Astyanax mexicanus: one gene and its partner. The protein of the gene in region 1 interacts with the protein of each later gene in a biochemical or structural test. Links are inferred from orthologs where the notes say so. Each region holds a gene or a part of one and is shown on either strand. Other genes may lie near its edges. The genes, in order: WW domain-binding protein 11 and pqbp1.

Region 1 (8,766 bases):
GCATAAGTGTGTAAGTGCCATTTCTGTGGTGTAAATGGTGCAACTGTAGTGAAACTGGTGGAATTATAGTATAAGGGGTGTATCCTTGGTGTAAGTACAATTAGTGTGGTGTACATGTGTAAGTGTTATTACTGTGGTGTAAGTGTGTGTGTGGCGTATCTGTGGTGTAAGTAGTGTAAGTGTGTAAATGATATTACTGCGGCATAAGTGTTATTACTGTGGTGTAAGTGTGTAAGTGTTATTACTGTGGTGTAAGTGTTATAAATGTGTTGTAAGTGTTATTAATGTGGTGAAAATGATATTACTGCGGCGTAAGTGTTATTACTGTGTGTAAGTGTTTTTATTGTGGTGTAAGTGTGTAAGTGCTATTACTGTGGTGTAAGTGTTTTTACTGTGGTGTAAGTGTGTAAGTGTTTTTACTGTGGTGTAAGTGTTTTTACTGTGGTGTAAGTGTGTACGTGTTATAACTGTGGTGTAAGTGTGTAAGTGTTATTACTGTGGCATAAGTGTTATTAATGTGGTGTAAGTGTTATTAATGTGGTGTAAGTGTTATTAATGTGGTGTAAGTGTGTGTTATTAATGTGGTGTAAGTGTTATTAATGTGGTGTAAGTGTGTACATGCTATTAATGTGGTGTAAGTGTGTACATGCTATTAATGTGGTGCAAGTGTGTACATGCTATTAATCTGGTGTAAGTGTGTTTATGCTATTAATGTGGTGTAAGTGTGTAAGTGTTATTAATGTGGTGCAAGTGTGTACATGCTATTAATCTGGTGCAAGTGTGTACATGCTATTACTGTGGTGTAAGTGTGCACATGCTATTAATGTGGTGCAAGTGTGTACATGCTATTAATGTGGTGTAAGTGATATTAATGTGGTGTAAGTGTGTACATGCTATTACTGTGGTGTAAGTGTGCACATGCTATTAATGTGGTGTAAGTGTGTACATGCTATTAATTAGGTGTAAGTGTGTACATGCTATTAATGTGGTGCAAGTGTGTACATGCTATTAATCTGGTGTAAGTGTGTTTATGCTATTAATGTGGTGTAAGTGTGTAAGTGTTATTAATGTGGTGCAAGTGTGTACATGCTATTAATCTGGTGTAAGTGTGTACATGCTATTACTGTGGTGTAAGTGTGCACATGCTATTAATGTGGTGCAAGTGTGTACATGCTATTAATGTGGTGTAAGTGATATTAATGTGGTGTAAGTGTGTACATGCTATTACTGTGGTGTAAGTGTGCACATGCTATTAATGTGGTGTAAGTGTGTACATGCTATTAATGTGGTGTAAGTGTGTACATGCTATTAATGTGGTGTAAGTGATATTAATGTGGTGTAAGTGTGTACATGCTATTACTGTGGTGTAAGTGTGCACATGCTATTAATGTGGTGTAAGTGTGTACATGCTATTAATGTGGTGTAAGTGTGTACATGCTATTAATGTGGTGTAAGTGATATTAATGTGGTGTAAGTGTGTACATGCTATTACTGTGGTGTAAGTGTGCACATGCTATTAATGTGGTGTAAGTGTGTACATGCTATTAATGTGGTGTAAGTGTGTACATGCTATTAATGTGGTGTAAGTGTGTACATGCTATTACTGTGGTGTAAGTGTGCACATGCTATTAATGTGGTGTAAGTGTGTACATGCTATTAATGTGGTGTAAGTGTGCACATGCTATTAATGTGGTGTAAGTGTGTACATGCTATTAATGTGGTGCAAGTGTGTACATGCTATTAATGTGGTGTAAGTGATATTAATGTGGTGTAAGTGTGTACATGCTATTACTGTGGTGTAAGTGTGTACATGCTATTAATGTGGTGCAAGTGTGTACATGCTATTAATGTGGTGTAAGTGATATTACTGTGGTGTAAGTGTGCACATGCTATTAATGTGGTGTAAGTGTGTACATGCTATTAATGTGGTGTAAGTGTGTACATGCTATTAATGTGGTGTAAGTGATATTAATGTGGTGTAAGTGATATTAATGTGGTGTAAGTGTGCACATGCTATTAATGCAGTATGTGTGGTGTAAGAGTTAACTGGTGGAACTTGATGGTATGTTGTACAGCACCAACATCTGCTCACTGAAATCATGACTGTGCACATGTCCTTACAATGATCTGTCAATCAATGTGTGTGTTATAGGTGTGTTTGTGAAGAGAGATCTGGCCTCTGTTGTGGTGCGGCAGAAACGAGCTGGAGCTGCAGACCTCACACAGGTCCAGTTGGAGAGGTACACACACACACACACTCACACAGACCACACACACACATGCCATACACTCGTTTACTCTCTCTCTCTCTCTCTCTCTCTCTCTCTCACTTCTCTCAGTCTGCGGGAGGTGTGTGAGCTGAACCTGGCCTGTGAGCACATGATGGACACAGAGGGAATCATCGCCGCCTACACCGCCTACTACGGACCAATCCCCTTCTAACCTGACTCCTCCTCAGCCAATCAGGGCCAGCCCGCTGCTTAGACACACCCAGAGTGTGCGAAGCATCTGGAAACGGATTAGTACTAGAGTAGATTATTAAACAAAGAGAGCCACTGAATTAATATTAATATTAGTGACATCATTGATATTAATATTAGTGCAGTGTAGTGATGGAGAGAGAAAAAGAAAAAGGAGAAGGCACAGGAGGAAGAGGAGCAGGAAGAAGAGGAAGAGGAGAAGAAAAAAAAGATGATAAGGCTGTGTTGATGTGTTAAATTGTACTGTAGCAAAAATAAAGCTGAAATAAACAAACCCCGTCCCTCTTATTTACAGATTCAGATTCAACTTTATTGTTACAACACATGTATAAATACAAGGCAGCAAAATGCAGTTTAGCATCTGACCAGAGGTGCAATATGGCAGCAGGTACAAAAAATATACATTTTCTACAGTTATTGGACCCTACACACTGTCAACAGTCAATTTTTAAGCCCCCACCATTAAAATAGAGTCAGAGGCTAGAAATATATTTACTGGAGGAGAGGTGAGTTCAGGTAAATATCTGCTGTGCTTCTATCTTGGTGGTGGGAAATACAGGTGCACCACTGACTAATTAAATCCCTGACAACAGTCAACACTCAGCTGCCCAATCCTATCTTAACCATGCAGGAGCACCATGAGCACGCTCAGCACGTGAACACCCCTGCTCGTTAAACACACACATGGACATGCTGCATCACAGAGCCAACTTTTACATAAACAATAAACAAAACAAAAGGATAAAATAAAATGGATGTTCCTGTAAATGAGCTGCTGGTGTACCTTCACAGTGTGAATGCGCAGGTTAGTATCCTCTGCTGAGATGCACAAAGCACTGCGCTGTTAATATATGAACATGCCAAAGTCAGAGCTCACCTGCCTCTTAAAGGTAATGACTACTGAAACACTGATTTTATGGTTTTAACTGTTTTTTTTTTCATGTTACACCCAAAACACACCCATGATTAATTAAGAGAATTAGTACATGCCTTTTGCACGTTTCAAGCCGCATAAGGCATATTTTTTGGGCCCTTACAATAGCAAAGACACAATCACATGCCCTGCATCCAGCTGCACAATACTCAATTGAATATATACAGTATATATATAATATGTATGAAATATTTACTGCTGCCTGTGGGACTGATGCTGCTTTTAAGTGCACCTCGGAAGCTCATTCTGACGATTTCAGACTAGTAAATGTGACGTAATTTCGAAGTAGTAACAAAATTAAAATGGAAAACTGAAACACAATAAAAACAAAATGCTTTTTTGTTTACTTTTGTGTTATATAATTGAAATATATTTACAGGTACTGCAAACAAAGCAAACTAACAAAGAGCAATGTAAAAGCATTAGGTAATCAACAATTTTGTCCAGTAATCAGTATTAGTAGCATGTACAGTACAACTGTTATGAGAATAAACAGTTAGAGTAAGCCGATTCCCCATAACACCACCTCAGCACCAGATGCTTCATCAGTCCATAGGCTACACTGTGTGTGCAATGTACCCACTATCATTAGCATTATTAGTAATTACATCAGATCATACCAGAGTTCTTCTGGTTATTGTTTTTAATCTTACAGGAATTAATGTTCCAATTGATTTCCTCTTTTAAATACAGAGTGGTGTATCAGTGTGGCATATAATTTTAAACTATTTGAAAGTATTATCAGCAGACTGGGGTGAAGTGTGTTGTAGGAGGTGCAGTTTGTGGTTGGGGTGAAGTGTGTGGTAGGGGGTGCAGTGTATGTTAGGATGTGCAGTATATGCTAGGGGTTCAGTGTATGGTATGAGGTGTAGTATTTGGTGGTGAGTTAAATGTGTGGTTGGGGTGAAGTATGTGGTAGAAGGTGCAGTTTGTCATAGGGGGCGCAGTGTGTGGTAGCGGGTGCAGTGTGTGGTAGGAGATGCAGTATGTGGTAGGAGGTGCAGTGTGTGATTGGGGGTGAAGTGTTTGGTATGACGTGCAGTTTGTGGTTGGGGATGAAGGGTGTGGTAGGAGGTGCAGTGTGTGGAAGGAGGTGAAGTGTGTGGTAGGGGGTGCAGTTTGTGGTAGGGGCCGGAAGGAGGTGCAGTGTGCTGTAGGGGTCGGTAAGGGGTGCAGTGTGTGGTAGGGGCCGGTAGGAGGCGCTGCGTCGCCCCGCTGTGTTTCCCTCCAGCTCAGAAGAAGACGGCGGGAAGTAAATATGGCGGCTCGCACACAGCGCGCTAATGCTAGCGCTAACGATTCATAAACACATCAAAAAGCGAATTAATCAACCCGGAGTTCATCAATACCCCGATCTATAATCCCGCACAGCGCCGCCGGAGCGGCCGCTTCTGCCCGGCGCGGAGGATCCGAGCTCCTGCACAGATTTACCAGACAGACCGAGCGGCTAGCGGGACAATAAAACAGTAACTGCCTTTATCATTGCTATTATTACTAATATTAAATTATTCACTGATATTTTAACTAATATAATATTATTTACTGATATTGTCAGGTATTTTAAAGGTTTTTGGAGTGATATAACCGTAAATTCGTTATTAGCTGCACGTAAATTCACAGTTAGCTTCCAATTCCTGGGTGCACCTTAAATCCTGCAGCAAGTGCTGCAGATTTTAAGGTGGAACGAAAAGTTAGCTAGAAAACAAAGCCAAATTCTCAGTTATTAGGGCACATTTTGGGACATATACAGGGTTAATGCTCTTTCGCTGACAGGGACAAGTTAACATTTATCAGTTCAGTCATCAGATTAACCAATTTTGGCACTCTGTAACAACAAAAGTGGAAAAAATCTAAAACGTAATTATTTAATAATTTTTTTTCCTCTAACTGAGATTCTGACTGTGAGAGGCAGAAATGCACAGCTTATAAAACTGTAAATACTAATGAAAACCATTTTGAGCTGACTTGTTGAAAATGTACTGATAAACATCACACATTACAGTGGTCTGAAAGGCAAACTTAAATAAACATTAATTATACATTCATGGGAAAACTATATGTCCTGACATAGTTTAACTTAATTCCTTTAGAAAAAGTCTGCCGTGTTTCATTTCCATAATTTACTGCAGAAAAAAGAACAGGGAGGTGTGTGGTGAGTGAAGGTGTGTTAAGGTGTGTTTGTGTTGTATTTTGCAGGTGAGCAGCCATGGGTCGCAGGTCCACCTCCTCCACCAAGAGTGGGAAGTTCATGAACCCCACAGATCAGGCCCGTAAGTTCTCCGCCCGTAACACACACACACACACACACACACACACACACACACACACACTCACACTCACATACACTCCTATACACTCCATCTGCCATGGAACCCACACTCTTACACATTGTACATCCTGTAACACACACTCTTACACATTGTACATCCTGTAACACACAATCTTACACATTGTCTATCCTGTAATAGACAACTCTCGCACTCTGTCCATTCTGTAATACACACTCTCACACTCCAACGTCCATCCTCCAACTCACCCTGTTATACACTGTCTGCCCAGAAACACACACACACACACTCACATACACTCCTATACACTCCATCTGCCATGGAACCCACACTCTTACACACTGTCCATCCTGTAACACACAATCTTACACATTGTCTATCCTGTAATAGACAACTCTCACACTCTGTCCATTCTGTAATGCACACTCTCACACTCCAACGTCCATCCTCCAACTCACCCTGTTATACACTGTCTGCCCAGAAACACACACACACACACACACACATTGTCCATCCTGAAACTCACACTCCATCCACCCTTGAACACACAATTTCACACTCCATCTTTCCTGGAACACACACTGATACACTTGTCCACCCTAGTCTTTTGCTTCCTCTCAGTGCTTCTCCCTCTCACATGATAGTAATGCTGCTGATACCTCAGACTAAAAATGCTTTTAAAACTAATGTTTGTGTGTGTTTAGGAAAGGAGGCCAGGAAGAGGGAGTTGAAGAAGGTAAACACAGCTTTTTCAGTACTGAGCATAAGGTGTTTATACGTTTTGTGTGCCACAGCAGATTTACTGTGTGTGTTTGTGTGTGTGTGATCTAGAACAAGAAGCAGAGGATGATGGTGAGAGCGGCGGTGCTGAAGATGAAGGACCCCCGCCAGATCATCAGAGATATGGAGAAACTGGATGAAATGGGTAAAAGCTGTGTGTGTGTGTGTGTGTTTAGTGTGAACTTTTGAACTAAATATTCATACTAAGTTCAGACTGCAGGCAGATCAGATTAGTTTCTGATATCAGATCTGTTAAGATGACTGTCAGCTCTTGTCCATTATTTGTAAGTGATGAGATTGAATTTGCATGTCTGGACATCACAAGCATATCTGCACTGGTTGCTGTGGTTTCCAGGTTAGAATCAGTAACTAGCCATTGGTGCTCTATTTGTATCCTCACACTTTCATTTTTAAATGTGATGAGGTTGTTGTTTGTCGTGTTGTGAAAGAGGTACAGGAACCTGAAATTAAATTTGAGAAGCATCTGTACATATACAGATTACCTTTTTATCAGATTTATTGTGGTGTCTGTCTGTCCAGACTATCAAAATCATTCTGAATACAAGGTTTGCCAAAAATCCGATTTGGGCTGGGACTCTTAACGTAGCCTTAGATTCTTGCTCATTAATGTGTGTGTTCTTCTCTTTCTCTCTGGTAGAGTTTAACCCGGTGCAGCAGCCTCTGCTGAACGATAAGGTTCTGAGAGATAAGAGGAAGAAGCTCCGCGAGACGTTTGAGAGGATTGTGCGACTTTATGAGCGAGAAAATCCAGATACTTATAAAGAACTTCGAAAACTGGAGCTGGATTATGAGACCAAACGCGGACAGCTCTCTCTCTACTTTGACTCTGTGAAGGTTTGTGTACTTGCACTCGCATATCTTAATGTCCGTGTGTGTCAACATGTGTGTGTTTGTGCATTTGGAGATGCAGGTCAGCGCTGTAGCGAAGCTTCTGTTATTCCCAGATAGATTATTTCCAGTTGATAGTGTCTGATGAGGTTCTGATTGTCCAGTGAGCCGATTCCGTCTGTCTCTTTGTGACAGTTTTTATGTGTTTTTCCTTCAGAATGCGGAGTCTGTGGAAGTGGACAGTATCCCGCTGCCGGAGATGCCCCATGCTCCATCCAGCGTTCTGATCCAGGACATTCCACTACCCGGTGCCCAGCCACCCTCCATTCTGAAAAAGAGCTCAGCCTTTAGGTAAATCACCTTAATCCTGATAAAATAATGCATATATATTTAAACAAATCAGTATAAATAATCGAGATCAAGTCATCCATTTTCGCTCGTTTTAGAGTACTGCAGAATGCTCTGTGGATTTTTTTGAGATTTTTTTTAACCGCCCAGAAGTGTCCTGAAGCTTTGTCAGCCTCCCATACTAAAAAATCTCTATGTCAAAATATATTTAGAAATACTAAGGATGTGTGAACAAATTGTTGCTGTCCAATGAAAAAAAAGTAACTCCAAATTATTTTGGAAGTCAATGTTAAAAAATTTTAGGTCATTTTTAAGTATTTCTATTGGTCCATTCATTAAGAAATGTTGGCCTAGTGTAAGGTACAGTTTGTCTGTTCAAATTATGTAGAAAACTAAAAATCGATAAAAATAGAGATACTATTTTTTCCCCGCTTATTTTATTTAGGTTTGGTTTGGTTTTGTGCATCAAAATGGGTCACAACAAACTACATGAGCAATTTCTCTCTAGAGTAGTAAATAAAGTAAATACAGGTAAAATATTCTGTTCTGAACTAGCTTATTGCAGTTTAGCATGGAGCAGCAGCAGAGAGCGCATTAGATAATAGTGTTAGTAAGAAATTACCTGTGTAATCAGGTTAAACCACACCTGAACAGCCGTTTAGCTTAAATGCAAAGAATTGCAAGTCTCCAATTACAAGTTTCCATGTTTCTGTTTTGAGTGAGATCACTGAAACACACTTGCTGGAACAAGCCGCAATCCAAACAGTGGTGGTGTGAAAACACCCTTAAGACAAACACATATCTGTTCATATCCGTGCTAGAGAATAATAGAAATATTTTTTGAAAAGTGGGTGAAGTTCCCTATTTAATTAACCCTATTTTATGTATTATTCATGTAGTATCTTTACCGTGTGTGTGTGTGTGTGTGTGTGTTTTAATTCTCTCTGTTGCAGTAAAGGAACTGCATTGTCGTCGGCAGCTGTTGCTGGAGTTCCTCGGTTACCACCTGGACGCAAACCCCCCGGACCACCACCAGGTCCCCCACCACCTCAAGTACTACAGCTGTATGGCAACCGCAGAGCAGGTA
Region 2 (9,155 bases), on another chromosome or scaffold:
TTTAAACAAGGCATGCACTCAAATAAATTAATATTAAAAATTAACATTCCACCACTTAACATTAACATAACAAAGCATTAAAATAAATTAGCTATTGTTCAATTTATTTTTTTCTGTATGCAGTTAAACACGAAAAGTGCTTTTTGTTGCCATTTTCATCTGAATCATTTTGGTTGCTGAGCATATTTTCTGCATCCCTATTTTAAACCATTATTCACACTAATAGCACTTTTACAAACACGGCCTTTGTGGAACCAAATGTGATTCCTCTGTGGCATCGCGCAAAGAACCTTTTGAAGCACCATTATTTTATAGCGTGTAGAGAGAAATTAAAAGTTCTAGAGTGATTTCACTCATCAGCTCTTTACCTCTCTGCTTCTTGGCTGCTTTAGTGATGAGCGCAGCAGGGTCATTGGGAGACAACCAGGACACCAAGTCTGTCTCTACGTTCCAGTAGTATGGGAGACCACTGAAAACAAACACAAGGGACGTTTGTGTCATTAAATATTTATAAAGCAATGATATAGGGGGGAAAATAATTTTATTTTATTCTTCCATATTTCTGTTATATCATCAGGCTCATTATGGTGTATACATGAATAACACACTAATCCAATCACAGCAAGTTTCATTACATAATCTGTTGTTATTGTCCAATCTAGCCCATTTAAAACTCTGGCAAAAGATTTAAATGAGGTGTCACATAAAACACATATATGAAGTCAATATATGGAACTAAGAAGATGCAATCCAGATAATTTGAATGAATGTTTTTTGTGTTATTTTTTATGTAATGTAGTACACAAGGGTTCTAGCATTGCAACGAGATTAAAACATAGTGCAATACAGGAAGCACTTACCAGGTAGGGTCCAGTACTTTGTACCAGTTGGTGGGTAAATTTTCAACCCTTGTAGCTTCATAGTCTACATTGTTGTCGTCATAGTCTTCAGCAATGATTTCCTCTTCATTGTCTTAAGAACAACAACATATCCAATCAGTCATAAGCAAAACATACATTGTATATTGACTACATTAAGAAGTACAGCTGACTATGTACTGTAAGCTGACATCTTACCATGTTCTGACTGCTTTAGGATTCCTCTCTTGGCCAGACGAGCCAGAAGAGCTGGTGGCAGAGGCATCTGGGGAGAAGAAAAATGGAGAGATATTTTGCATATTAATAACATGAAATTGTTAATTGTTGGTAAATTTATCTAGATTTTAGTAAGACACTCTAGAGAGATGAGGAAATCGCACAAAGATGCTCGTTATTATACATATGACTGTATATCCTGAAGATGTGAAAACATAAAAAAACAATTGCTGATGGGTGCGGATGTGTGGGCACAACCTGTTTGCAATATGTTTTATAGCTTTTTACAAGTAATGAAAGCTTGGCTTTCTTATGCCTGCTCATTACACCAATCAAAAAACAATAACTTTGTATTTTAGACAAGAACATAAAGCAACCAGATAAAAAAAAAAACATTAGTTGACTTACATGCCAACAACTGCATTTACAAATGGGGTGAACACATCCACCCAGATCTAGTCAATTTAAACTACAGACCAAACCCTAAAATCAGAATAGACGATACAGCACCACTCTCTAAAAAATAAAGATGTGTCTTAAAGCAGTAGTTCTCAACCCTGGTTCTGGTGTACCACTGTCCAGCATGTTGTAGTGTTTAGATGCTGCTTTAGTAGCAGAATTGGACTAAGCATAAATATTTTTAACTTACATTTATTTTGTTTGATTAGAGCTGAAAAATATATTGATATTTTTTCATACTGATAAGGATTAATTTCCTTCCTTCAATCAACTATATCATCATTGCTTAAAAAGCACTGACCCAAATGTACATTTATTGACAGAGTGTAAAAAAATTCTATTTCATTTTAGAATTTATAGAAATCACAGTATTCTACATAAAAAAGTATTTGAACAGTTAAAACACAATGCATACAGTTAATCAAATGATTATCTTTAAATACTGTGATATAATATTTTGCCATGTTATACAGATCTATTAGTATGTGATTACATACACCAAGGCTGGCTTTTACACTGTTCATAAAGATATTGGTATTAATTTAGAACTGGGCAAAAAAAGTTTTCGTTTATTTTGCACCATGGTCTTGGAATAACATTAAAAACAAATCACAGAGTTGGTTTTCTTGAGTGAGCTTAAATCCTTTCTGTGATGAATTCTGTGATAAGTAAAAAAATGTCTGTGATGGAAACATGCAATGGCTACTCTGACATGCCTGTTTTGTGCTTTCATGTTGGTTTTGTGTTTATTCTAAATGTAAATAAATGTTGTAATGTTCTGTAACTAGTGCTTCGACAGTGTCGATTATTTAAATGTGTCGACTACAAATTTCATTTTTGACTAATCGTTAATTTGTAACAGTACCGCATTACACAAAGTGGTGACAGAAACACAATGGGAGATGGTAAATGGCTCACTCATACAGTTTACACTCAATTTAGTATGTGTCTCCAAAAGTGCTCAAACACAACAGGTTACATATTTAATCACTACATATCAGTAGTTTACACGTTTAAACAACTTCTAGGCATTTAAATTGCTTTATAATTCTCATGTTCTATCGTTTTAGAGATGGGGGATCTGGCAGAAATAATCATTGAGTAATCGACTAGTCGAAAAAATAATCATCAGATTAGTCAACTACCAAAATATTCATTATTTGCAGCCCTATCTGTAATTGGAAATGGTGTGCCGTCCTGGCCAGATCTCCCTTGAAAAATAGATTTTTATCTCAAGGGACCTCCTGGTTAAAAAAATTAAGTAAATAAAAAAATATCGTATTGACCGAAATTAAGAATTATATCGTAATATTTTTTTTGCCATATCGTCCAGCACTATGTTTGGTCCTGACTCTTAGCAACTAAACCAGTGTTGTGGTCTGTGGCACTCTTAATTTATTTCTACTTCTTAGGACAGCTGTAACATTTGGTTGTATTATTGATGATCATTAAGGTGCTGTTTGCAGAGTAAAAACAAAACACGAGTTACAGCAAAACTAGTTACCCAGCACTTTCATTCAGCCCTCAGACTTAACGCTAGCTTAGCTAAATAGCATAGCACGTTACCCCAGCGTACTCAGACTCCTATTTAAACCATTATCTGCTGTATTTCAGCTAGATATCCATGCAAACCAGTGTCACAGCAGGCAATACAGTCTGCAGCATCTGTAAATAATCCACATTGATAAATTGAGAGAACCGCTGGTTTATTTACCTTAATAACAGCCGCGCGCTGCTAACTTTTCATTCACAGCAGCTACCAGCTTCAGTCGGCGCAGAAAAATGACGTCACGCTCCTCCCCCTTGTGGTCCCAGTGGGATTTAAGTGTTTTTGCTTGTTATAGAGAGCTATGGACAAGCATATAGAATAAATGAAATAAATAAATTACGTTAAATTAATTATAATAAAATTATACAGCTTATCGAGTGTCCGCTCCAGTCAAACAAGGAGTTTGATATGGTCCAATGAAATTAACAGTCCTTGGCGTTTCTGTTGAGACAGCCAATCACAGCACGGGATTACTTGTAGCGATCCTCCAACCGCAAGCAAAATGTAATAAAAGTACTTTATTTTAAATAATAAAAAAAACGACAAGAATGAAGATTCAGAATTATTTTAACCATTTCTCTTTCTTGACGTAATTTTGTACCTGGTACTTGGACCAATGCAAATGCTGCAAAATGACTTGAATAAACGAACCTGTTTTACGTCATCTTATACTTTGTGGCAATTTGGGCACCACAGGTTGGTGTTTTTATTCTCTACAGAAAACACAACCTCCAGGCATTTAATTGATTGTGAGAGTGGATGTTGAATAGCGTTTTATGTGTTACTAATGAGGAGTTGTTACTTTTTTGTGAGATTTACCTGAGAATTTGTGAATATATATAACATTTGGATTTGTAAGTGTTTTAGCCATTGTACTAATAAAGTGCAGTTAAAAGTATCTTTCTATCTTTCTCATGATACCCACTCTGTATGTCTGTCTATCTCTCTCTTTCTCTCTCTCTCTCCCTCCCACTTAGTCCAGTTCAGTTTAATAGTGATTTATTAGCATAAATGTAAAAAGAAACACTATTGCCAAAGCATATGACAGAAAACACATAAAAGCAAAATAATAATAATAATAATAATAATAATTACATACATGTATACAATTACAACAACTGGAGCTATTTACAGGCGTAAGCATTATTATTATTAATTATAATTGACAAGAAAAGGAAAATAAGGGTGAAAAGACTATAAATACGTAATAATAAGGAATAAATCAGTGATTTCGGTAAATTAGTTATAATAATTTTGTGTTTTTGTCCACACTGGTTTTCCCTCAGTGAGTGATCAGCTCCTTACTCCCTCTATCTCATGATACCCACTTTGTCTATCTGTCTCTGTTTCTCTCTCCATACCCATTCTAATTATTTTACGTTGTCTTTCTCTAGCACTCATTTGGCCACCAATGGTCAGTGTATTTATTTCTCTACAGAAAACATTTGTGCATTGACATAATGTATACTAAGTGTAACTGTACAATAACTTTGTATTGTGTGTTTATTTTCTTAATTAAAAAATGAGAAATACCTGGTGTAGGTACAAATACTGACATTTTAAATATTTTTTAATTTAGTTTATATACATTTAATGTACAAAGTTGGCATGTGTGCCTTATATTTTTTGTACTAGAAATGCAGACTCTCTTCTCTCTGGGGTGGAAAATCATTGCTAATCCTGTCCATCAGGTGGCGCTGAAACCCCGGCGGGCGGCTGCGTCACGGCGCCGAGGTCAGCGGCTGATCATGGAGGAGTATGCCCGTGAACCCTGGTAAAGTACAACTTCTGAGACAGCTTCTCTCTTTAACTAAACCACCGGTAAACAGAGCCGCTCTGACTCCGCTCAGAGGAGCATTTCCCCCGCCTGTGTGTGACTGTGTGTCGGCTCTGTTTCCTGTAGTTCCTGCAGTGAGTGTATGTGTGTGTTTGTGTGTGTGTGTGAGTGCAGTACAGCGCTCGGTTAGCGGGGCTGGCTAACAGCATAAACACCTCCTCCTCCTCCTCCTCAGGGTCGGGCTGCGAGTCTTACATCAGTGGAGCTATACACACACACACGAATATACAAATACTCACAGATACTACACATGCAGGAGGACCTCTTAGCCAGTAACAGCGTTTAATTACCACAGTAACGCACATTTAAATTCCTTAATAAGTAAAAGTAAAGTAAAGTAAAAATACAGGGAATTTTAGATTATATTGTCTGTTTTGTTATTTCTTAATTTGTCTTAGTTCTCCCGGTGTTTTCTCTTTGTCCTCCATAATTTTCCCAGTTTTCTGACACCATGTATGCTTACTCGTCTTACTTTACCACTCTTTATTTTATTAGTTTTTTTCTCATCTTTTTTTCTCACGGTTTTTACAGTTTTACTATTTCTCTGCATCTGTTTACTTCTCGCTTTCTGACCTTTACTTTCTCTGTTTGTCTATACCACCCGCTTCCCTGTTTCTTTTATTATACATAATTTAATCTCTCTGTCTCTCTCTTTCTCTCCCTTTCAGTCTCTCTGTCTGTATCCTTCTTTCAGTCTCTTTTAGTCTCATTGTCTTCTTCCCTTTCTCTCTCTTTCAGTGTCTTTGTCTCTTTCTTTTAGTCTATCTCTCTTTCTTTCAGTCTCTCTCCCTTTCTCTTTCAGCCTACCTCTCTTTCAGTCTCTCTCTCTCTGCATCCCTCTTTTTCTCTCTCTTTCAGTCTCTCTTTTTCTGTGTCTCCCTCTTTCTCCCTTTTGCAGTCTCTCTCTCTCTCTCTCTCTCTCTCTCTCTTTTTCTCAAAATACCCACTCTGTCTCTATTTCTATGTAATACCCTCTCTCATTCTCACGATTATACCCACCACTTACTCTATAATCTGTTTTTCTCACTCTGCTCTGCCCATTCTGTCTGGCTCTCTTTTTTCTCTCTCTTTCTGTTTTCTTTTTGTCTTTCCAAGATTCAACATTTAAAGTCGTTTTTTTCTTGCCTAACTGTAACTGTTTCTGTCAATGTTTGTCAGAAAATTAACAGAAAAAGAACAACAGTAATTATTAATATTTATTAGAGGTGTGCCAAAAAATCGATTCACATAAGAATCTTGATTCTCATTTACTACGATTCAGAATCGATTTAAAATGTCCCAAAATCGATTCTGAGGGGCGGGTTTTGGACTGATTTTGGGCTGGGTATTTTTGTTGGACCTGGCAACCCGCTTGTCCCTTCAAACCGAGGTCTTCCAGACCCACACAGAGCGTAGTAGGTGTTTGAGAATCACCGGTAAGATGGCAGAACAAGCACTATATTACTTTAGATTAACGTGTAGTTTTAATGTTTTATGGCAGAATGCTTCATAACAAGCATAAAAAAGATCGCTAGTAGTTAGTTTCAGTAACTGTTAGCTAGCTAACAAGCTAACTTTCCAGTTCCACCTTAAATAACGCTACAGGTGGCTGCGGGCTGCAGCATTTAAGGCGGAACGGAAAAATAACAATAAGCTAATCAGAGCTAATTTCAGCTCCTCATCACAGAGGAATTAAGGAATGGACAATATGAATTAATTTCTCCACCTCCTGCCCCCTTTCTGAAGAAATACAACGACCTTAAATTAACTAGTTAATCAGCAGCTGCTCCTGAACTTTAGCGCTCCACTGCTATCATCACATCAGCCCAGCAGCGTCACCTACACACCACCGCTAGTAGCCTGGTAATAAAGCAGTGTTATTTATTATTTATTTATTGTTCATTAACGTCATTGTGATATCCCAGTGATTCCTCTGTCACTGAGGACCCACATTCCTGCACATTTTATTGTTTTTGTAACACATTACTTGCTCCAGGACCAGTGTATATTATGGAGGGGTTTTTTTTTCAATAAGATTCATAAGCCAGAAGCAGAAATTTTTATAATTCAAATCGTTTTGAATCAAAAATCGATTTTGAATCGAATCGTGGCCCCCAAAATCGGAATCGAATCGAATCGTGAGATAGTAATCGATTCCCACCCCTAATATTTATAGACAACAGTCAGGTATGGTCTCTAAGGTGGTGACCCACTATAATAATACCCACTCTATCTGTCTATCTGTCTTCCTCTGTTTGTCTGTCTTATCTACCTGTCTTTCTCTGTTTCGTGATACCTCATGATCTTTTTTTCGTTATGTGTCTTTTTATCTCTTTATTTGCTCTCTCAGTCCTTGGAGAATAGTAGATGACTGCGGAGGTGCATTCACGATGGGGGCCATCGGTGGGGGGGTGTTTCAGTCCATCAAAGGCTTCAGGAATGCGCCTGTGGTGGGTGTTTCAGTGCCTAAATAATGACCTGATTTCATGCTGATTGTGAATTCTTTTGATTCTGATTAATCTCTCTCTCTCAGGGCGTACGACACCGGCTGAAAGGCAGTGCGAACGCTGTGAGAATTAGAGCACCGCAGATCGGTGGTAAGTTTTTCTGTTGTCCTGATTCTTGCTCTATTCTTCTCCTGCCTCTTTGTTCTCCTTCTGTTACAGTGAGAGACAAGCACAGACTGACCTGGATTCCCTGAGAGTATCAGTATTTTTACTGGGCTTGTGCTTCAGCCAAAAAAGATCAGGTTCCTAATAGTAAACAAGTGCTGTCAGGTATCAGTGTTACAGATATGATTATATTTGCTGCTTCATTCATTCACTCTCTGTTGGCATATGAGACTAAAACAGGTTCCTAACGACACTTATCAGGGCAGAAACTAAATGCTGCAGCTCCTCCTACTTTCTTGGCTGGTTAAAGGGGTGTTTTCATTGAATATCACAGCTTCATTTGACATAAAAATATACTAAATAATAAAAAACAATATAAAATCCTATTAAAAAAATATATGGTCCACACTCCAGTCTATACTGTCAGAGATGTGCAAATATATATGCTGTGTTTCTTAGTTACTGTGGTCAGACACTCACACATTGAAGATTAGCCAAGCTGGTTAAGTTGGTCCAATAAGTGAAGAGATATTTAATGTGTGTGTGTGTGTATTTTGCAGGAAGTTTTGCTGTGTGGGGAGGCCTCTTCTCTACCATAGACTGTGGCCTGGTGCGGCTGAGGGGTAAAGAAGACCCCTGGAACTCCATCACCAGCGGAGCCATGACTGGAGCCATTCTGGCAGCACGCAGTGAGTGTATAACTGCATCATGGCTGCATTATACTGGGAACCTCTTTATACGGCTCTGCCTAAAAAACAAAATAGCACAGTGAGAGGTTATGACATCCAACAGTCATATCCTGTAGGCCTGTGCAGCGTTCTTTATTCTCCATGGGACATGGCAAAAACTTTGTCATGGACACAAAACTTTTTTTCTTGGGGTTTGTGGGGGAGGAGGGTAGGGTTAATTCAGTGATCTAAAGCAGGGCTAAATAGAAACACCTGAACACTTGTTTCACAAAAAACGGCTCACATGCCATTGATTCATACTAGAGACCACAACTACACATTTTAAAATGAATGAAAAAATGATGGAATGAGATCTTTTAATTAAATGTAATACTGCCAAATTTGTAAAAAAAAAAATAAATGGATCAGTGCACGAAGCACCTGTGTGTGCCTGCATGCAGTTCCAGTGCTAGAATGTAAGAAAATCTATCAGCCAAAGTCTTTTCTAAGGTGATTTGAGGTGTTGAGGTCTGATGGCAGATTGTGAGCTCGCTGCAGTCCTGTGATTACTGTACCTGTGTGCTTTGCAGGTGGGCCTTTGGCAATGGTCGGCTCTGCCATGATGGGGGGCATTCTACTGGCCCTGATTGAAGGATTTGGTATTTTACTCAACAGATACACAGCTCAGCAGTTCCAGAATCGTGAGTGGTTTTGTTTTAGTGACCTTAAACAGTGCACAGGTTATAGATTTCAACAACTACAGACAGAGCTTACATTATTTGTTTGAGATAGATTTGGTTTTAAAAACAAAACCAAATATTTTGTCGCTTATGTGTAATTTCTCTAAATTCCCACATAATATGTATTGGGTACCAACATGCCTGGTATAATATTCACATGCCCTTAAAAGTCTTAATTTTCAGTTGTAAAAAAAAAAACACTAAACCCTAAACCACA

What was found.
Region 2: the proteins of WW domain-binding protein 11 (region 1) and pqbp1 form a complex in vitro, tested with the Homo sapiens proteins (2 studies listed by BioGRID and IntAct, with this or other methods). The link is inferred for Astyanax mexicanus from reciprocal best matches to the Homo sapiens genes WBP11 and PQBP1.

Annotation. Positions count from the first base shown.
Region 1 is NC_064410.1:8,166,773-8,175,538, reverse strand, and holds the start of WW domain-binding protein 11, read left to right. Parts: upstream 1-4,625; 5' UTR 4,626-4,880; intron 4,881-5,610; 5' UTR 5,611-5,620; coding exon 5,621-5,684; intron 5,685-6,406; coding exon 6,407-6,438; intron 6,439-6,533; coding exon 6,534-6,627; intron 6,628-7,140; coding exon 7,141-7,337; intron 7,338-7,548; coding exon 7,549-7,682; intron 7,683-8,632; coding exon 8,633-8,763; intron 8,764-8,766. Other genes in the region: bglap (osteocalcin), read left to right, coding at 2,153-2,240, 2,340-2,442. UniProt on the Homo sapiens protein: Activates pre-mRNA splicing. May inhibit PP1 phosphatase activity.
Region 2 is NC_064419.1:20,725,067-20,734,221, forward strand, and holds the start of pqbp1 (polyglutamine-binding protein 1), read right to left. Parts: upstream 3,420-9,155; 5' UTR 3,268-3,419; intron 1,144-3,267; coding exon 1,077-1,143; intron 973-1,076; coding exon 861-972; intron 470-860; coding exon 369-469; intron 1-368. Other genes in the region: timm17b (mitochondrial import inner membrane translocase subunit Tim17-B), read left to right, coding at 4,851-4,876, 7,269-7,368, 7,452-7,515, 8,091-8,219, 8,789-8,899. UniProt on the Homo sapiens protein: Intrinsically disordered protein that acts as a scaffold, and which is involved in different processes, such as pre-mRNA splicing, transcription regulation, innate immunity and neuron development.